4 linked regions of the Saccharomyces cerevisiae S288C genome follow. Changing the gene in region 2 together with the main gene of any one other region gives a genetic interaction. Each region holds a gene or a part of one and is shown on either strand. Other genes may lie near its edges.

Region 1 (4,587 bases), on a different chromosome or scaffold from region 2:
ACAATCTCTTGGGTGAAGTAACCGATGTAACCGGAGAAAAGATTATCGATGTTGAATGAGTCCTGGATACCGCCAGCCTCAGAGGTGGACAAGGAGGTGTCTTTAGTAGAAATGAAGAAAGCGTCTTCGGCAGATAAGTTCTCTACGGATTGAAGTTGTGCCTGCTGGACGTTTTCCTTGTGGAAATCGATCTCTTCTTGAGGGGCACCTCTCTTGAAGACTATAATGTAGCGGTTGGGGATGATCTTGGAGATCGCGTCTGGGTTGAATTGTGCAGTGGACACGAGAGGAGCCAGCCTGTTGTGGTGCCTCCCTTTCTCCAACGTCTTTTCGTGGTGCTTCTTGCCCTTGACTTTCTTACCTTTCATCTTCTTCTCCTCCACCTTATTTTCGTGGCAGCCACCCTTATGGTGAGGCTTCTTCTTCTTATCATCATTATCATCATCATTGGAACTTTCATGCTTAGGCTTCATGCCCTTTCCTCCCTCGTGGGCGCTCCCATGAGAGCCACTTGCACGTTTACCGTTGAATTCCGGAGACTCCTTGTCTTGGCCCTTGCGGCCCTTCTTATGGAACTTTCCATGTTCTTTATCTTCAGAGTCAGATGGCTCCTCATCATCGTCCTTAGTGAATTCCACTTTTCTGGGTCTCTCGTGGTGATCTTCCTTGTTAATCAGTTCGTGGTGGTCGGCGGCATTTTCAAGATTTGGGATGACCAAAGCAGCAGAGATGCTCCCTAGGGCACCGAGTGTAAATAGAGTATTTTCTAACTTCATCTTTGCTTGTTAGAATTAGGTTTAGTTTGTTTTTTTATTGGCGATGAAGCTAATTGGACTCTTAAGTTTGTATGGGAAGAACTCCAATATAACGGGACGTAACATTGGCCCCCTTTTATATTCATCGCGCTCTTTATCGCGGGTGTGTTTGCCCCCGCCACTCCCGCAGTCCTGGCGTGATAAGCCACTGCAGTGGCATTACTGAGCCCAAATTTTGCTTTTTCAACAAGTCACCTAAATTTCCAAAGCCGAAAGCCCTGCTACTCTGCTAACCCGGAGCGTTTAAAGTCCACGGACATTTCCCAGCCCTCGTTTTTTCTCCTCCCGGGACCCCGGGCATAAGTGCATAGTAGGCACAGACCTGATCTGTCGGGTGCAGTTTAAAAAAGTCTTGGCAAAATTTTTTATTTATCACACTACTGTGCTATATAGAGTATATGTAATTTTTAACTATTGGTATATGTGTCCGTGACCTCGTAGTTAGTGGCTGATTTGTCGGGTGCAATGCAGTGTTCAAAAAGCCTCTTAAAAGGCGAGCAGACGTATTCGGCTCCTTTGAATTGGCACTCCCATTGCACAAGCTCTTTCAGCCGGCAGTTGGTTTGTGAGTCAAGCGTTGCTAACGGTGCGAGCGCTTGGTCCCTAGTGCGGATGGTGGTTGGAGGCGCCATGAGGGTTGATTGTCTTATCTGCGATAGATGAGTCTTTCTTTCCTTCTCTTTTCCCCTTTTCTCCCCCCCTGTTTCTCGTCCATCTCTATCTGTCTATCTGTCTTATCTACTGTTAGTTTTTTTTTCGCTTTCACGATACCGCATTACGTACTGCGCTGCGGAAGTGTGGATGAGTGGCATATACACTCTTCTGCAGAGGATTTTCGTACACAACGGTGTGTGTGTGCTGTGAAGCTGTCTGCTTCCTTACTTGGCTGTTTGCTTGCTTGTGCGTCATGGTCACTTTTGTTAGAAGTGAGCCGCATAAAATGGCATGTCGGCACAGCCTACAGTTAAAAATTAAGCATATCTGACTGTTTATCTGTTTATCTGTTTATACACGGTGAACTGTCACGAGAACCCTTACTTGCACGATTAGCAGATTGTTCAGAGAGCCTCGCTCGTTGAAGTTCTTCTATATGCCAGCGTGTTTCATGTAGCAGGAAACGTTGCTCTATTTATATCTTTTCTGACATTTTGCGTCGTCGGGAAAAAAAAGATTAAGTAAGAACAAAAAACCGTTAATGGTTTCAGCAATCGAGACAAGTACAAGGACCAAGGCAAAGGTCAGCAGTAAGCTTAGAGACGATGAAGGTTGATTACGAGCAATTGTGCAAACTCTACGATGACACGTGCCGCACAAAGAATGTGCAGTTCAGTTACGGTACGGCCGGATTCAGAACGCTGGCCAAGAATTTGGATACGGTGATGTTCAGTACTGGTATACTGGCGGTTCTCAGGTCGCTGAAGCTTCAGGGTCAGTATGTGGGGGTGATGATCACGGCGTCGCACAACCCATACCAGGACAACGGGGTCAAGATCGTGGAACCAGACGGATCGATGCTTTTGGCCACATGGGAGCCATATGCCATGCAGTTGGCCAATGCGGCCTCTTTTGCCACTAATTTTGAAGAATTTCGTGTTGAGTTGGCCAAGCTGATTGAACACGAAAAGATTGATTTGAATACAACCGTCGTGCCTCACATCGTGGTTGGGAGAGACTCTAGGGAAAGTAGTCCATACTTGCTGCGCTGCTTGACTTCCTCCATGGCCAGCGTCTTCCACGCGCAAGTTTTGGACCTAGGCTGTGTCACTACGCCTCAATTGCATTACATTACTGATTTGTCCAACAGGCGGAAACTGGAAGGAGACACAGCGCCAGTTGCCACAGAACAGGACTACTATTCGTTCTTTATAGGAGCCTTCAACGAGCTCTTCGCCACGTATCAGCTGGAGAAGAGGCTGTCTGTCCCAAAATTGTTCATAGACACAGCCAATGGTATCGGTGGTCCACAGTTGAAAAAACTACTGGCCTCCGAAGATTGGGACGTGCCAGCGGAGCAAGTTGAGGTAATCAACGACAGGTCCGATGTTCCAGAACTGTTGAATTTTGAATGCGGTGCGGATTATGTGAAGACTAACCAGAGATTACCCAAGGGTCTTTCTCCATCCTCGTTTGATTCGCTATATTGCTCCTTTGATGGTGACGCAGACAGGGTTGTGTTCTACTATGTCGACTCAGGATCAAAATTTCATTTGTTGGATGGTGACAAAATTTCCACTTTGTTTGCAAAGTTCTTGTCTAAACAACTAGAATTGGCACACCTAGAACATTCTTTGAAGATTGGTGTTGTGCAAACTGCCTATGCAAACGGCAGTTCCACCGCTTACATAAAAAATACGTTGCACTGTCCCGTGTCTTGCACTAAGACAGGTGTTAAACACTTGCATCATGAAGCTGCCACTCAGTACGATATTGGCATTTATTTCGAAGCAAATGGACATGGTACGATTATATTCAGCGAAAAATTTCATCGAACTATCAAATCTGAATTATCCAAGTCCAAGTTAAATGGTGATACGTTAGCTTTGAGAACTTTGAAGTGTTTCTCTGAATTGATTAATCAGACCGTGGGAGATGCTATTTCAGACATGCTTGCTGTCCTTGCTACTTTGGCGATTTTGAAAATGTCGCCAATGGATTGGGATGAAGAGTATACTGATTTGCCCAACAAGCTGGTTAAGTGCATCGTTCCTGATAGGTCAATTTTCCAAACCACGGACCAGGAAAGAAAATTGCTCAATCCAGTGGGGTTGCAAGACAAGATAGATCTTGTGGTAGCCAAGTATCCCATGGGAAGAAGCTTTGTCAGAGCCAGTGGTACGGAGGATGCGGTGAGGGTTTATGCGGAATGTAAGGACTCCTCTAAGTTAGGTCAATTTTGTGACGAAGTGGTGGAGCACGTTAAGGCATCTGCTTGAAAGCATTATTCGATGTATAGTATAGCTATTTAGATATACAGAGAGATAAATGAAAGAGAAAAAATATTGGTATCAATCAACGTTTGTTACAGGCTTAGACTTTGGTTTGGTAATTGAAATTCATGGTAGTGGAAATAAACAAAATTTTCCTCTTCAATTTTTTTCGTCGTTTCGCTCTGCAATCGAAAATCAAATAATCTTCATAAAAGAAATCACTTTCAATAAATGAACTTCTCACTACCATAATGGATGATGTGGCCGATTCGAAAGCAATACGGTTGATTAACACGGAAACCCCGAGTGATAAGTCACCAAAAAAAATTCTCTTTACGATGAATGTTCCGAATTTGTTCTCCTCTTTACAGTTTTCGTTGGAAAGGTATTTATATGTAATTTCCTTCAGAATTCTCTTGTTTTCTATGTTGGCATTGTCGAGATGAACCTGTTTCAGTATGGCATTGGGAAAAAGTGTAGCTTGTAACTTTAAAACTTGATCATGCAGTGTTGCAGCTAAATTATCCAGAGTAAAAATTTCCTCTTTGGAGTAAATGCCTAGCAAGTTTTTCAGCTGACTACTCCAACCTCGCCTGGCCCTGTGCTTTCTACTTACACAATCTTTGTGATTTGGTGGTAAGGTTTTTGGAAAATGAGGAAGAGTATCTAGTTGTTGGGTAATGTTTCTTTCCAAGAATGATATTTTTTTCATTATGACGTCAATTTCTTTAGAATAAGCCGAGAACTGTACAGTTTTAAAACCCTTTCTGTTGTCATTCCTCTGAATCCCATCATTTGCCATTTAATTTTCAATTTAGTTACTAGTCAATTTTCTTTTTCGCCTT
Region 2 (5,378 bases):
AGAATCTGTCGAAGCCTACTTAGTCTCTTTATTTGAAGATACCAACTTGGCTGCCATTCACGCCAAGCGTGTCACTATCCAAAAGAAGGATATCAAGTTGGCTAGAAGATTAAGAGGTGAAAGATCATAGTTTGTTGATTGTCATCAGTTTTAGTAAAAAACGAACAAAAACACAATAAAATATAAATCAATATATTTAGGTTTACTGGGTTCTTTAACAGTTGTATAATAGTTATTTTTTATTACAAAAATATAGGTTTTAATAAAAAAAAATAGGGTTCTATTTGTTTTACATTTATTGATTTGTTTTTCCTGGCGATACCCTCGAAAAAAGCCAGGCCTTGTAGGAGGCAAGATTTATGGCTTTCCATGTGGTTAAAGAAAAATTGCAGCAGGAAGATATTCATTCATGAGTCAGTTATATAATCGATATATAGCTACATATTAAACAACTTGAAGCCGCATACGTGGTAGGTGTCTCATTTTCAATTCAAAATATTTTAAACAGAACCGGAGATGAAGAACCACTTGTCAATAGACTTGTCAATTGGAGCATCTGCCTTTGGAGAAGCTGGTGGGATGGCATCAGAGGCAGCCTTGGAGTAGGTTGGGGTGTCAGGCAAAGTAACATTGGTCAAATCAATACCCTTGCTGTCAGAAGACTTACCAGCAATTAATTGTTTCCAGGAGTCATGTGTTTCCTTGATGATATCCAAAGCGTACTTCTTGTTCTTAGCTTCACCGGAGAAGGCAAATTGGTTTTCTGGCTTACCATCTGGGATTTTGTAAATTCTGAACCATTCGTTAGTAGCCCTCAACAGACCTGGGAAGTATTTCTCAACATCCTCAATGTCGTTCAATTTTGGGGCTAATGGATCGTTAATATCAATGGCAATAACTTTCCAATCGGTCTCACCTTCATCCAATAAAGCCATGATACCTAGAGCCTTAACTTGCTTGACTTGACCAGTGTAAGCAATAGTTTCACCAATTTCCAACACATCAATTGGATCGTTGTCACCAACTGCCTTAGTTTCTGGGTGGCTTACGTTTGGGTCTTCCCAAGTTTGTGGGAAAGCACCATAGTTGTGAATGTAACCATGGTGAGGGAAACAGTTTCTAACAAATCTCAACTTGCCCTTCTTGGTGTCTTGGATGATTGGGTTCAAAGTTTCTTCCTTGGTGATTTCTAACTTGGCGTTGGTCCAACGTGGAATTTCAACAACCATGTTGAAAATGTTGTTTTCCTTGTCAGCGTACAAGGGAATGTCGTGGAAGGCAGAAACTGGCTTACCATCCTTTTCGATATAAACTTTGTATTCCAAGGTGTTCTTGGCACCAATTTGTCTGGTAGTGTAGGTCATTAGTAAATTGCGCGGCGGGATATCCTGTTCTATAGACCTAAGGGACAACAAATCAAAATAGATGATTAAGAAAGTAAGTATTCAAAAACAAGTTGTAAATGAACTAACCTTCCTAACTTCGACGCGACCTTAAAACGTCGAAAAAAAACGAGAAAAAGTCATCATGAGACTATCGTATCTAATGACTGTGGCTTCTCCCAACAACCTTAGCGTCTGCGATGACGATATTTTGAAGAACAGTCAAATCCGTTTGAATAGTGCGCCACACAGGGATAATAATAGCACATTGGCATCTCCTTCTGTGAATGAAACACTTCTACCTGGGCTTCAAAGTCCCGCAACCTTTTAGTTACATAAAATTCGGCGGCTAAATCATGATATTATATTGATGGGTAATGTAGCGTTCAGTAAAACGGTTCCTATGTATTACTATCACGTGGGTGGGGAAGACCACATTCTTAGAGAAGAGTAATCATTTTAGCAGATTATTTTTACCTTTTTCAACTCATGAACTCATGTTCAAAGGTACAATATATTACCCTTTCTTCAAAGTATCCGAATGATTTGAACCGCACTCTGAGGGAGCCATCAAATTCTATTGAGCGACTTCGAATCGAACAATCCAATTAAATCAGCCTTTAGCGCCATATTTCTCCTTGTATCCATTGTTTACTTCTCCCTTGTATCTTGTATATGAGAATTATGGGAATAAGATAATTGTTGGGATTCCATTGTTTTCAAAGGCTGTAATATTAGGTACACAGATTATACTAGAAGTTCTTTTCGAGGATATAGGAATCCACAAAAGGAAATCGATAGTTATACATAATAATATTATTGTATCTTACTTCCTTTTATATGTTGTCACTCATTATTGTGTCGTGCATTCCATTAGATTGGATGACTGTTTCTCAATCTTTATGCCATCCTCTTACACCGCATGTGATATAATAGTAACATGAGTGCTGCGAAATAGATGATATTAAAATTTCATTCCAACAAAGTTCCATATATATCCATATATATATATATATTTCACGAGGATAATGAGTTAAAATACTATGTAAAGGTATTGTGGTTCATTTTTCTTTTATCAATTTTTATCCAAGTTTTTCTGATCTATAACATGTCCAATACACTTTTTCGAACTATAACCGCCAACAAATTTATCTTATAGACGAGAAACACTTTTATGATATCGATGTTCTACACCTACTGCCGATAACACCGTGTTTTCACTATTATAGCATATACCATTTTTGTAACCAATGTGTTGTTGTAATTCTCCGCAAGGCATATCCCAGATATTCTTATATGGCCCATTTCCACTTCGTTGAAGCCTCACATCAAAAGAGCAATCTTGAGATAATTTCAAAACCACACACATCGCTGCAGTTTCATAATATCTGTCATCACTGATGCAATAATTAAGTGACGAAATTATATCATTATTAACAGCTGTATTATTATTATAATCAAGACAAGCTGAATTTGATGCAAATATATATTCCCATTCAGTGCCGTTTCTTTCGAATTTATAGAAATCACTTCTTTGTAGGTAATTGTTCTGGCTTACTTTGAGCTTATTCATGTTAAAGTAATTGTTGGAATAAAAATCCACTATCGTCTATCAACTAATAGTTATATTATCAATATATTATCATATACGGTGTTAAGATGATGACATAAGTTATGAGAAGCTGTCATCGAAGTTAGAGGAAGCTGAAGTGCAAGGATTGATAATGTAATAGGATAATGAAACATATAAAACGGAATGAGGAATAATCGCAATATTAGTATGTAGAAATATAGATTCCATTTTGAGGATTCCTATATCCTCGAGGAGAACTTCTAGTATATTCTGTATACCTAATATTATAGCCTTTATCAACAATGGAATCCCAACAATTATCTAATTACCCACATATATCTCATGGTAGCGCCTGTGCTTCGGTTACTTCTAAGGAAGTCCACACAAATCAAGATCCGTTAGACGTTTCAGCTTCCAAAATTCAAGAATATGATAAGGCTTCCACTAAGGCTAACTCTCAACAGACAACAACACCTGCTTCATCAGCTGTTCCAGAGAACCCCCATCATGCCTCTCCTCAACCTGCTTCAGTACCACCTCCACAGAATGGGCCGTACCCACAGCAGTGCATGATGACCCAAAACCAAGCCAATCCATCTGGTTGGTCATTTTACGGACACCCATCTATGATTCCGTATACACCTTATCAAATGTCGCCTATGTACTTTCCACCTGGGCCACAATCACAGTTTCCGCAGTATCCATCATCAGTTGGAACGCCTCTGAGCACTCCATCACCTGAGTCAGGTAATACATTTACTGATTCATCCTCAGCGGACTCTGATATGACATCCACTAAAAAATATGTCAGACCACCACCAATGTTAACCTCACCTAATGACTTTCCAAATTGGGTTAAAACATACATCAAATTTTTACAAAACTCGAATCTCGGTGGTATTATTCCGACAGTAAACGGAAAACCCGTACGTCCGATCACTGATGATGAACTCACCTTCTTGTATAACGCTTTTCAAATATTTGCTCCCTCTCAATTCCTACCTACCTGGGTCAAAGACATCCTATCCGTTGATTATACGGATATCATGAAAATTCTTTCCAAAAGTATTGAAAAAATGCAATCTGATACCCAAGAGGCAAACGACATTGTGACCCTGGCAAATTTGCAATATAATGGCAGTACACCTGCAGATGCATTTGAAACAAAAGTCACAAACATTATCGACAGACTGAACAATAATGGCATTCATATCAATAACAAGGTCGCATGTCAATTAATTATGAGAGGTCTATCTGGCGAATATAAATTTTTACGCTACACACGTCATCGACATCTAAATATGACAGTCGCTGAACTGTTCTTAGATATCCATGCTATTTATGAAGAACAACAGGGATCGAGAAACAGCAAACCTAATTACAGGAGAAATCCGAGTGATGAGAAGAATGATTCTCGCAGCTATACGAATACAACCAAACCCAAAGTTATAGCTCGGAATCCTCAAAAAACAAATAATTCGAAATCGAAAACAGCCAGGGCTCACAATGTATCCACATCTAATAACTCTCCCAGCACGGACAACGATTCCATCAGTAAATCAACTACTGAACCGATTCAATTGAACAATAAGCACGACCTTCATCTTAGGCCAGAAACTTACTGAATCTACAGTAAATCATACTAATCATTCTGATGATGAACTCCCTGGACACCTCCTTCTCGATTCAGGAGCATCACGAACCCTTATAAGATCTGCTCATCACATACACTCAGCATCATCTAATCCTGACATAAACGTAGTTGATGCTCAAAAAAGAAATATACCAATTAACGCTATTGGTGACCTACAATTTCACTTCCAGGACAACACCAAAACATCATTAAAGGTATTGCACACTCCTAACATAGCCTATGACTTACTCAGTTTGAATGAATTGGCTGCAGTAGATATCACAGCATGCTTTACCAAAAACGTCTTAGAACGATCTGACGGCACTGTACTTGCACCTATCGTAAAATATGGAGACTTTTACTGGGTATCTAAAAAGTACTTGCTTCCATCAAATATCTCCGTACCCACCATCAATAATGTCCATACAAGTGAAAGTACACGCAAATATCCTTATCCTTTCATTCATCGAATGCTTGCGCATGCCAATGCACAGACAATTCGATACTCACTTAAAAATAACACCATCACGTATTTTAACGAATCAGATGTCGACTGGTCTAGTGCTATTGACTATCAATGTCCTGATTGTTTAATCGGCAAAAGCACCAAACACAGACATATCAAAGGTTCACGACTAAAATACCAAAATTCATACGAACCCTTTCAATACCTACATACTGACATATTTGGTCCAGTTCACAACCTACCAAAAAGTGCACCATCCTATTTCATCTCATTTACTGATGAGACAACAAAATTCCGTTGGGTTTATCCATTACACGACCGTCG
Region 3 (6,312 bases), on a different chromosome or scaffold from region 2:
ATACCATAAAATTAGGCATGTCATAGCAAAAATCAACGGCAAATAAAGCAAGCACGCAGTTACGATACGTTCAAAGATCTTTCCAAGTTCTGTATCCTTCTAGAACGATTAGTCTAATGCAACTGATATGTCCAACATTCTAAATATAACTTATTTTGGTATTAGCTGCATCATTCTACCATGATGAGCTGCGGCGTTCAATATCTCATTTTTTTTTGTTCGGGGTAACGAGGTTCATTGTTGCAAATAGCACGACCAAACGAGCGGTATGATACAAAGCACTGCAAGTCATAGCTGAGGTAAAAAAAAAAAGAATGAAGATCTCATTGTTTGGGTTAAATTACTTTCAAGAGCCTCTTTTTTAGGCTCGGTTGGTTAAAAGAGCAAGAACCGAAACACTAGTGCATCAATTTTTATAACAATTTTGTAATTATGTTGATAATTGGCAGTAAAGTTACAAAATACACACTAATTAAAATATTGAACACTTACAATATAAAGCTGATATCAAAATAAATATCGAACAATAAATACAACTCTCTCCAATATCAATATACTGCCGTCGTTATTTAAAAAATTAGCCCACCTGGGAACATTATAGAAAGAGATTTGTTTTTTGGTCTGGCAATGTGTCATAATCAAGCTCTTTGCAATATACATCCCCAACTCATATATTTGTATACAGGAAGAAGAATCGACCACCATCTATCGACTAGCATATTATCATATACGGTGTAAAAAGATGACATAAAAGATGAGAAACAGGGTAATCCCAACAATTGTCTCAATATTTACCTATTTCTCACATTGTCACCGCTCGAAAGTGCATTTTATATACGTTCTTTTGTGACGACTACTTTTGGCGGGAATCTTAGCGCCTTAAATGCAGTGAAAGATTACTCTTTTGAGTTATTGCCTGAATTTTGTCTGCAAAATTGTTATTATTCAGGAATTTAGAATAATTCAACTCTGGAGGCCTGCGCTGTACTACGGGCTCAAGTAATACCGGAGTGTCTCGACAATCCTAATATAAACAGTCTTAGGGAAGTAACCAGTTGTCAAAACGGTTTATCAGATTAATTCACGGAATGTTACTTATCCTATATATTATATAAAATATGGATCATACTAAATGGTGGAAGCGCGGAACCTTGGATCTAAACTGTTGGAATAAGAATCCACTATCGTCTATCAACTAATAGTTGTACTATCAATATATTATCATATACGGTGTTAAGATGATGACATAAGTTATGAGAAGCTGTCATCGAAGTTAGAGGAAGCTGAAGTGCAAGGATTGATAATGTAATAGGATAATGAAACATATAAAACGGAATGAGGAATAATCGTAATATTAGTATGTAGAAATATAGATTCCATTTAGAGGATTCCAATATCATCGAGGAGAACTTCTAGTATATTCTGTACACCTAATATTATAGCCTTTATCAACAATGGAATCCCAACAAGTCTCTCAAAATACACCCATTTCTCATAAACCAATTGTTCAGGCATTTATACGTTTAGATAGCCCAGCTATAGAAGGCGGAGTTTTACCTCATGTTGCTCAATCTGTTCGTTTTCTTAGGTTTCATATGTGTTCTATGAACGTTCAGGATAATGTATTGTCATGCTGACGTATCCCATTCTGAGATGTAACGTCTGTACAAAACAAAGCTTCAGTAGCTCAGTAGGAAGAGCGTCAGTCTCATAATCTGAAGGTCGAGAGTTCGAACCTCCCCTGGAGCATTTTTGCCGAGCACGGTACTTTTTTTTATTCTCAGTAAATGAAATCCAAGGGCTCATTTATTTGAGAAAGTAAATAAGGTATTAGAGGTAATAAAGTAACCATGGGCCAAGAAGACATATTCATAAACTTATGAAAAAACTTTGTAGGTATTAATAACTTATGGGTAAATTACTATCTATGAATGAATATTTACTATTTACTAGTGCTCATCTGGATATTAATTTAGACTTTTCAACGTCTCTCTTATAATATTTGTACATTTATTAACATCATCATCATTAAATCTAGGCTTGCCATCTTCTTCGAACATATCTTCGTCAGTAAACAGGGTGCTATCAGTAGGTTCTTTAATGTTATTATTTTCCACCAATTCCGTCAGTAAAGTTTCGTCAAAGTTTTTGGGAAACGGCCAGCCTTGGTCTTTTATTATCTGTATCAAAGCCATATGCCTGATTTCAAAGCCCCCGAAGAGTATCTTATTGTACCAGGAGCGTGCTCCTTTTTCGTCTCTCATTTTGACATAATGCATTACCATTGCAGAACAAAATTTAAACGTTAAAGGCACCCCATTTTTATGCATCACCTGTAGCAATTCTGATAGTTCAGCCTGCGTTAATGTATGATTTTTATAGGCTACTATGGAAAAGGGACATAGCGTGGTAGTTAAAACCACTTTTTTGGCGAAAGGTTGAGAATAAAAATCCAGAAGAACATTGTAGGCCAGCCTTGGTTCACGAGCTTGGAATCTAATATAATTTAGGAAAACATTGAGGATTCCGGTATCATTTCTCCAATACCTGTATTTATGAGCTTCCTCGGAAAGAAAACTCTTGTACTTGTAATATAAATCAAGAAGACAATTCTTGAATTGACCACTTTCCAGTGAAACAGAACTCGAAGATAAAAGGCTTCTATACAGTTCAGTTAAAATTGGAACAGTCACTGGTGATCCTATTCGCATTGTGTTCGGTAGAATATTATTTTTGTTCTTCAGCTCTCTTGCTAACGTAGGAGCTGTCAAAGTCGTTGATTTTGAATGATAGAGCCACCCCCAAATCCCTAGGGCATTCAGAATATTAGCAGACGCCTTTGAGCTGTATGATGAGAGGAGATATTTACACACCAATTTCGGGTCACGAAAGGCTTGAAAAGATGCAATTAATTCACCCATTAAAAACTCCTTGAACAATTTATATTTCATCAGTGGGCTGCTTTGTAAGCAGGAAATTACATTGAAAAGCTCCTCCTGCCTATTAGATATTCGGAGCAGATTCAAGTAGTGGTGAATGGGAAAATTCAATATGTGTTCGTTTCCATCAATGTGATTAAGCAATCCTGAGCTTACAATGAATTTCAGTTCCTCTTGAAAGGTTTTGATGAATAACTCAACATTTCCACTTTTCAAAAGGTAATAAAGTAAGGTATTGTTGAACTTGACATAACGCAGGTTCTTTTGCTTTGCTCCATCTTTACCAGAATAACAGTGCTGTTCCAACTTCTGTAGTAGAGCTTGAATAAATACTTTAATGAACCTAAAATTTTTCGCCTTAACAAGGCCATTTACTAGAGCGATTAAGCTGTCAAATGTATGCAACTTCAGAACTTTTTCCATTATAAATTTTATGTTTGTCTCATCATGCAAAAATATTTGGAACGTGGCTAACTGCCTCTCCATCTCAGTTCCTTTTATCAGCCTATTGGTAAATCTCGTACAGTAGTTAGAAGTAAAGAGAAGAACATCACTTTTCAAAAGAAAAAGATAGTGATTAAAAGATTCTGATTTTGGAATATGATACCAGAACCATCTGTGGACCTCACCTGGTAGATAAAATCCAATTTTTCTTGCCACCTCTGGGTATAACTCGTGTTGATGCAAAATGATATCATATAAAAGTTTCTTCTTTTCATTTTCTGAGCAATTATTTATATGCAGGGCATTTCGTAGAGATTCAAAAAAAGAGGCGTATTCAGTTACTCCAAAAGTCTCACTTAATACAGTTTTCAATTGTCGGAGCTCGTATAAACGCTTCTGAACATTTTTCGAAGATCCGCTCTTCCTAGAACATGGCACCTGTCGTTCAAAATCGCCAAACTGCAAAGGTTCTGAACGATTTGATTTAATTTTCAATGGACAGTTTTTCGTAGATAAATGGCGCAGATTTGTAATAGGTAGAATTGTGTATGTCCCTGCGCTACCCATATGTTTAAACAGCGGTGAAGTGACCATTTGAGCCAAAGGCTGGGAATAGACACGGCATATACATTTTAACATGCCAATAAGAACATTAAAGTGAACGCTTGGAAGATTTGAAAGCCCATTCTTGCCAGTACGCCAATAAAGTGTGTCGCGCAGAATAGATCTTCATGTAATTCCTTTTTCCCTTTTATGCAATCTATAATGTTAATCAGCGTAGATCACTATATACGCTTTTTTTTTTTTTTTTCAGCTCCGATTAGAGAGCAAAAGAGATGTAACATCGATCCTGCTATAATTAGAATACAAGTGTTGATCTTTAATTGTACTGTTTCTGCGAAAGCTATCGAGCATTTGGCTGTATTCCACTGTCCATTGTATTTTTAACTCTCCTTTTTATCATTCTGAAACATAGAGCTGTTTTGACAAAATTCAGTTTTTTCTCAATTAGTGCTTTCATTCATACGTTCGTTACAAGCTTTGAATTTTAACTTTATTTTCGGGCTTCCACCTTTGCTTCATTATTTTACTTCAGCTCTTTAGCTTTCTGTGACATTCAATTTTATTGTATGACAGCACGTCGTTTGATTAATATAGTTCCTAATACGTCTAAGCTAGACCCTTTAAAGGAGGAGGACTCAACGCATCTGAAACAAAATCAACCTAAGAAGTTTTCCACAAAGGAGTTGATGCTTTCAGAATATACCGAACGCAAAAGTTGCAGCCTTCCGTTGTCTAAATCCCGATCAGGCAGTAGTGCATCCAGTAGCACTACAGGTTCGAACGGAAAGAATATTGGAACAAGACGCCCTAGCTCCAACCTAGATTTCAATTTCGCTAGCCAAGATGTTGTTAAAAATGTATTAGGTAATAATAATCCACACGTACCCACAGCGAAGTGCATTAGGCCAATATCAGATGATTCTATAGGTACATCGAGCACAGAGATATTTTCTTCATCGCACTCAAATACGACATCTGATTCTTTATGTACATCAGATATAAGCTCAGAAGAGGGTGAAATAGCAAACAGTAAGATGGAGGATAACTGCTTCTTCAAAAGTATGAGAGAAGCTGACCATAGAAGCAATATTACGCCCTTAAAGAAAAGCCGACCGGGATCAATACTACAGAAAACACGTACAGCAAGTAGCGCTGATAAAACAATCTGCTCAATGAGTACCATAACTACATGCATTCCATCTCGTCAAAATTCGGTGTCAACTCCTAAACTCTCCAGGACAGTAGGGCTGCCTGGATCGAGCAATACAACCAACAGTATAGCCGCATCACAAACTTCATTCATAAGCGAGAATGACTCTCCTCTTAAACATCATTGCATGAGTACCGCAACTATCCAAGAACCAAAACTCATGCCGATCACAAAAACGCCGTATGTGCATTCCAATAGTACTTCTGTAATATTACCATATAAAACAACCCAACTTACTCCTTCTCAACGTTACCGTTTAAGGAAAGAGCAAAATGACCAATCTTTGCGTAAAGCCATAAAAATGAAAGAAAAATTTTATGAAGATCAAGACGTTAACTTGGAACTTCAAGAGGGCGATGTCGACGGCTCGTTAATTTGGAACATTCCAATGGCATCTTTATCGACCAGTTCTTTTTTAACATTATCTAAGTTTAATAGAAAAGAAATGAGTTTAGATTCAGCGCGGGGGGATGAAGAGATATTAATACAGGAGAACAATTGCGAAGGCAAACAACACTCATCTTCGGCTCTCTGTGTGGACAAAACTTTCCATCAGGTTCATAGTACTAGAAAACATACATCAAATTCAAGTAACACTTTAAAAGAATCATGTCTGGACTATAAGGAGCTTCCGCCAACATGCATTCCTGGTATATCTCCTGTGTCTGATTCACAGTACATCCAGGATACAATGAAAAATCTCTCCCAAATATACCTGCATAGTTCCGAAAAAATCTCCAAAAGTATTCTTTCTGGTCGTTCAAGATCTGTACAGAGTTTACCACTGGAATTTAAAGAAGCCAGTAGTCAGGGAATGGAAGACCTAATGCTAGTTTCAGAGGACAAACTAAAGGCCGTAAGTCATTTCCGTCCGAGTTGGCTCCCGCCCAAGGATTTCAAAGAGAGGAAATTGCAAGATAAACAAATCTACAAAAATATCGACTTAGCATCAATGGAAGAGTTGCAAAAAAATAAAGAACGTGACGAAAAAGCCAAAAAGAATGAGCAGAATAAGGTCAAATTCCAGCATTTACTGGACCGAGGCATTACTCGTAACTCGTCATTAAGTGAATTAAAGAAAATTATTTGGGAAACACCTTTGATATCTAAAGTACGGCTTCAAATATATAGTCAACTTCTACAAAGTGACAATTG
Region 4 (5,970 bases), on a different chromosome or scaffold from region 2:
CTTCAATCCGAATGCACAACTCATTGAAGATCCTTTGGATAAACCGATTCAGTATAGAGTGTGCGAAAAATGTGGGAAACCCTTAGCTTTGACAGCAATTGTAGACCACTTAGAAAACCATTGTGCGGGAGCATCTGGAAAAAGTAGCACAGATCCAAGAGATGAGAGTACTAGGGAAACGATACGAAATGGAGTAGAATCAACTGGGAGAAATAATAACGACGATGACAATAGCAATGATAATAACAATGATGATGATGATGATGACGATAACGACGACAACGAAGATGATGATGACGCTGATGATGACGACGATAATTCCAATGGTGCCAATTACAAGAAGAATGACTCTTCTTTTAACCCTTTGAAAAGATCCACATCTATGGAATCTGCGAACACACCAAATATGGACACGAAAAGATCGAAAACTGGGACTCCTCAAACCTTCAGCTCTTCCATAAAAAAACAAAAGAAAGTCAAACAAAGAAACCCAACTGAAAAGCATTTAATTGATTTCAACAAACAGTGTGGTGTAGAGTTGCCGGAAGGTGGTTACTGTGCACGTTCGCTGACATGTAAGTCCCATTCAATGGGTGCAAAGAGGGCTGTCTCTGGTCGTTCCAAGCCCTACGACGTCTTGCTAGCAGATTATCATAGAGAACATCAAACAAAAATTGGTGCAGCTGCTGAGAAACGTGCTAAGCAACAAGAATTACAAAAATTACAAAAGCAGATACAAAAAGAGCAGAAAAAACATACTCAGCAACAGAAACAAGGTCAAAGGTCTAAGCAAAGAAATGTGAATGGTGGGAAATCAGCCAAAAATGGTGGTAAGAGTACTGTACACAATGGTAACAATATCAATGAGATAGGACACGTTAACCTAACTCCTGAAGAGGAAACAACACAGGTTCTAAATGGGGTATCCCGATCTTTCCCACTGCCACTAGAGTCAACGGTACTATCGTCAGTTAGATACAGGACTAAATATTTTAGAATGAGGGAAATGTTTGCTTCCTCCTTTTCTGTGAAACCAGGATATACATCTCCAGGTTACGGTGCGATCCATTCTCGTGTAGGATGCTTGGATTTGGATAGAACAACAGATTACAAATTTCGTGTTAGGACTCCACAGCCAATTAATCACCTCACAAACCAAAACCTCAATCCGAAACAAATACAAAGACTACAACAACAGAGAGCTCTACAGGCTCAGCTTCTTTCTCAACAACAGCAACAGCAGCAACAGCAGCAGCAACATCACTCACCCCAAGCGCAGGCCCAGGCCAGTACCCAACAACCTACTCAAGGTATGGTGCCCAATCATTTCCCCGGCGGGGCAACGAATTCATCATTTAATGCCAATGTGTCGAGCAAGCAAATTCAGCAGCAGCAGCAGCAGCAGCAGCACAAGTCTCAAGACACAGGTCTCACGCCGCTGGAGATACAATCACAACAACAAAAACTACGACAACAACAACTACAACAACAGAAGTTTGAAGCTGCTGCTTCATATTTAGCCAACGCTACCAAATTAATGCAAGAATCAAATCAAGATAGCCATTTATCTGGCACCCACAACAATAATAGTAGTAAAAACGGTAACAATAACCTCATGACGATGAAAGCCTCCATAAGCTCTCCCAATACTAGCGTAAATAGTATCCAATCTCCCCCTAGTGTCAACAGCGTCAATGGCTCCGGGCAAGGTGTATCTACCGGTATTAATGTCTCTGGCAATAACGGGAGAATTGAAGTAGGTATTGGAAATTCTGTGAACCCCTACAATGGCAGAATAAATTAATTGAATCATGCACGTTATCCAGCATGTTCACGAAGTGAGTAATAAAAAATTATTCGCCGAAGTAACATGTACACGTCTATGTTTGTGGACAAGTTACGCTATTTGCATTTAGAGATTTCTTCTCCAATGTAAATTATTTTTTCTTCGGGGGGTATACATTATTTATTTAAGTAGACATTATATTTCTTCATAAGGGTAGGAGAGAGCGAATACAAATGCCCAGTAAATTCCCCATAAGTAGTTCTTAAAATATAATACCATAAAAGTGGCCATAAATAGGAAGGGCCATGGATTATTGGGTAGAATTTTTATAAATGCCATATGCAAAATAAAATTAGAGAATGAAATACCGAATATTTCCCAAGGATAATACTTTTTTTCTTTCCATATGACTTTCTCGACGTTTTCTTCAAATGACTGAGTCATTGCTTCCCTAGAAAAGTATTTCTTGACTCTTAGCGGGCCATTCCTCTCAAAGTTCACAGAACCGTTCTGCAAGATCTTTCTGCTTTCATCAATTGCAGTAGCCCATTGAATAGGGACGGCAGGTTTTAGCCACCCAGTGGCAGAACTTTCATTTTCACCAGCAACGTAAGATTTGATAGTCTCCAAAGGACCTCCATTGTTTACTGCTAGTACAGGCTTACCTAATTTCATGGCTTCTAAAGGAACAATACCAAAGTGCTCATATGCTGGTGTATACAATAACATTTCGGTTCTTTCGAGCAGTAATTCTTTCAGAGATGATGAAATGGAAGTTAAAAATATAATTTTACTATTATTGGTTTTGAATGACTCTAAATCGGAGACGCGCTTTATTTCTTGGTAGTATATGGTTGTATGGGATAATTCGTATTCATCGGCCAGAGACTGTAGTTCCTTCAAGTACTCCACATTTTCTGCAACCCTCTCGTCATAACCACCGCAAATAACTAACTTAACGTTGTCATTGATTTGATCTTCAGATAACGCAAAAGCCTTTATAGCCAGCGCAACATCCTTTTTTTTCTCAAAACGATTTATACTTAGGTAAAATCTATCGCCTTCGTTAAACACTGTTTTGAAAAATTTCTTGTCAATATCTTCAATTTCGATTGTTGATAAATCCACGCATGGATAAATGACGTCTGGATCATTGGATAAATACTTGAACGTTTGGTGGAACGTATTCTTAGTGAAATTTGAATTTACCACAACAGTATCGGCAGCACTCACGGAAAACTGTTCTATTAAGTCAAATGGTAGTCTGTATATTTTCTTCAATAGCCCAGCTCTTTGAGCCAATAATTGGTCGGGGAAATGACAATAAAACATCAAAGTGGCAGAACTAAAGATATGCAGAAGCGGAATACATGTAGACAGTTGATCAATGATAATTAATTGGTACGCATTCACTTTTTTCTGTAGGATCAATTGAATAACTAAATAAAGCTGTCTAATTGTTGCGAAAACAATAAAAAAACGACCCAAAAAGTTTGTCGGTAAAAAATCACCATAAACTTCGACTTTTAATTGGCCGTTTTTAACTTCTTCGAAACAATGTGATTTATCACAGTGACTAGTATAGATGATTACACTATGTCCTTGTTGCTGTAGACCTAATGCTGCATCGACGACTAACCTTTCAGCGCCCCCAATACCTAGGTCTGGATGAATAAAAGCAATCGTTCTTTTATCCTTTTCAATCATTTTTGCTTGTCTAATCGACTCTTTTTTATCTGTCTTTACTACTGTATCTATTTCGTGACTTCTTAAATGGCGAACGTAATCTTTTGATGTTAAAATGAATACATCATTTATTTTGTTGTTCGCGCGTTCATCTAGCCAGGCACTTGTTTATAAAAAAAGAAGCTATACGCAAGGCTCTCGATCTATAAATTGTATCTGTGATTGTGACCCTTTCGTATATATGTTATAATATTTACAAGAATATACATTTATCATGATAATCTCTGGTGCTTTTTGATGATCTTTGGAAGAGCTTTAGCCCAAGATTTTGTTTTACTGTCAGTTAGCATAAATACGCGGCCGCCCTGTTTCATTCTAGCAGTTCTGCCCACTCGGTGTATCAGGTCTATTGACGTTTTGGGTACATCGTAGAGAACAACATTCCGTACACCTTTGAAATTGAGCCCTCTTGCCATGAGGTCGGTGGTTACGAGTACATGCAAAGACTTGTTACTGGGTGCGGTACCATTAGAATTTGTGTTTTTCAATTTGCCGATGACGATGTTGGAATCAGGAATTTCAAATTTCTTCAAGGAAGTGGGAGGTGAAGTACTCTGAGCAACCACCTCCGAAAGTGGTCGCGGTGGTGATAAAAAGGGCATAATTTTCTCGGATCTTTCTTCAAATGTATCTTCACCAGTTAAACCGATGGCATTATGACCGAATTTCTTATTCAATAGGTTAACAATTTCAGGAACATTCTTTTTTTCGTTAACAAAGATAATGCATCTTTTCTCGAACCCTGGTTCCGTGTCATCATTTGAAATAGCATATAAAGTTTGTGCCAATGCTTTGATCTTGGATCCCTTGAAAGGACTTAAGGCAGAATTTATAACTTTAAAGTCCAAAGCGAATGGTAACTTATGCAGTCTGGGTGTCATTATAGGAACCACTGTAGGAAATAGTCTTTGCATTGTTTTATTAAACTCTTGAGGAATAGTAGCGGAACAGAAAATAAGGTGATTAATGTTAGGAATTCTCTTTATTGCGGAGTGCGTTTCTTCAAGCCATGACCTATCTAGAAGTGTGTCAGCTTCATCTAGTACTACGAAACCCACTTTGGACAAGACTTTATCAGGTCTAGTTATCATTCTTATGGAGAACAGGTTCAGTAGTTTTCCCGGAGTAGTGACTAAAATATCTATTCTATTTTTAATGTTCTCTAATAAATCACGATATGATGTGGCCTTGTCCCACTTGAAAGAGTTTAAGCCTAACAAGGTTTTCGTCTTGGAAACAGTTTCGTATACTTGGTCAACCAATTCATGCGTAGGCACCAGTATGATGGACCGAATCAGAACGTTTTTTCTTAATGTTTCCCATAATTCGGGAGTTTCCAACTCCTGTCTTTTCAAATAGTCTATTAAAGGTATCAAGTAGGCCATGGTCTTACCTGAACCTGTCTCAGCGGCAATCGCATGTATTTGTAACTTTGGATCCATTAAATTTTTGGATATTCTCTTAATGGCCACTGTTTGAATGGGACTCGGTATTATATTTTCACTGGTTTTTTTCCTACTATCTTGTAGCTTCAGGGACTCTTTGGAAATGATTTCTTTCACAGCGTCTCTGACAGGTGGAAGTATAAGCAATTGGTCGAAATTCGATATTTTTTGAATGAGTTTATTCGTACTGTCCATATTCATCTCGACGTCTTTTTTCAATCCACCATACTCTCCAAAGTTGAATGCTTGGTCAGGGTCATTCTTTTTGTTACCTTTTTTGCCTTTGGCCTTCTGTTTTCGGTTTTTATTACTACTGCCTGTAGGCACTGAAGCTAATGGAGAGTTTCCTTTATGCTTTGTTCTTGGGCCTCCCGCATAAGAACGCACTCCTATCTTGAGAAGCACGGGGAAAGACCACTGTGGTGAAATTACTGGCTTGAAAAAAAGCGACATTTGTCTTATTATACTTTAATCTGATCTGAAGAAGTATTTCTACTCATCACTAATATCTATTCCGCTATTATTATAGTTGTAATTTATGATTCCGTGGTAAGTGATTTGAACTTTTGCTTCCTTTCGAAAATTTCAAGAATATGGTTTGGTTGTGCTGTGCAAGAGCGGTTGTATTGCGAAATAGAACCCATCGAGAAAAGAAAATGAAAAAGACGGCATTAAAGACTAGCTCTGTTTTAAGACAAATATTTACAGGCCAGAGAATAAAGAGATACTCGTATGTATGAATTGTAGCCCCTTACACACATATGTATATATATCGATGTGAACATAGCATTTATTAACAGTTCTGCTCAGTACAAATGGTAGTAGTACTAGTGATGAGGTTACTCCGACACCGTTAACAGCGGTAGTAAAGAGAAGGCCGAGTAAACATAAGGTCGTTATGCTCTTAGGTTACTGTGGCAGCGGATACTATGGAATGCAATACAACCCACCACACAAGACGATTGAAGGTGAGATTCTCACCAAGCTCTTCGA

Evidence for each region.
Region 1: mutations in IPP1 (region 2) and SOM1 together harm fitness more than expected from each alone (negative genetic interaction), as found in Saccharomyces cerevisiae (one large-scale study listed by BioGRID).
Region 3: mutations in IPP1 (region 2) and ATP22 together harm fitness more than expected from each alone (negative genetic interaction), as found in Saccharomyces cerevisiae (one large-scale study listed by BioGRID).
Region 4: mutations in IPP1 (region 2) and ALG2 together harm fitness more than expected from each alone (negative genetic interaction), as found in Saccharomyces cerevisiae (one large-scale study listed by BioGRID).

What each region holds. Positions count from the first base shown.
Region 1 is NC_001137.3:41,178-45,764, forward strand, and holds SOM1 (Som1p), read right to left. Parts: upstream 1,448-4,587; coding exon 1,223-1,447; downstream 1-1,222. Other genes in the region: PRB1 (proteinase B), read right to left, coding at 1-776; HHY1 (Hhy1p), read left to right, coding at 1,475-1,783; phosphoacetylglucosamine mutase PCM1, read left to right, coding at 2,075-3,748; SDD1 (Sdd1p), read right to left, coding at 3,843-4,544. UniProt on the Saccharomyces cerevisiae protein: Non-catalytic component of the mitochondrial inner membrane peptidase (IMP) complex. IMP catalyzes the removal of signal peptides required for the targeting of proteins from the mitochondrial matrix, across the inner membrane, into the inter-membrane space.
Region 2 is NC_001134.8:256,612-261,989, forward strand, and holds IPP1 (inorganic diphosphatase IPP1), read right to left. Parts: upstream 1,365-5,378; coding exon 501-1,364; downstream 1-500. Other genes in the region: HHT1 (histone H3), read left to right, coding at 1-130; YBR012W-A (gag protein), read left to right, coding at 3,258-4,580.
Region 3 is NC_001136.10:1,174,153-1,180,464, forward strand, and holds ATP22 (Atp22p), read right to left. Parts: upstream 4,023-6,312; coding exon 1,968-4,022; downstream 1-1,967. Other genes in the region: YPS7 (putative aspartic endopeptidase), read right to left, coding at 1-24; SBE2 (Sbe2p), read left to right, coding at 4,514-6,312. UniProt on the Saccharomyces cerevisiae protein: Translation factor specific for subunit 6 of the mitochondrial ATPase. Required for assembly of the CF(0) component of the ATPase.
Region 4 is NC_001139.9:377,779-383,748, forward strand, and holds ALG2 (GDP-Man:Man(1)GlcNAc(2)-PP-dolichol alpha-1,3-mannosyltransferase), read right to left. Parts: upstream 3,494-5,970; coding exon 1,982-3,493; downstream 1-1,981. Other genes in the region: deubiquitination module subunit SGF73, read left to right, coding at 1-1,804; MRH4 (ATP-dependent RNA helicase), read right to left, coding at 3,745-5,430; pseudouridine synthase PUS2, read left to right, coding at 5,876-5,970. UniProt on the Saccharomyces cerevisiae protein: Mannosylates Man(2)GlcNAc(2)-dolichol diphosphate and Man(1)GlcNAc(2)-dolichol diphosphate to form Man(3)GlcNAc(2)-dolichol diphosphate.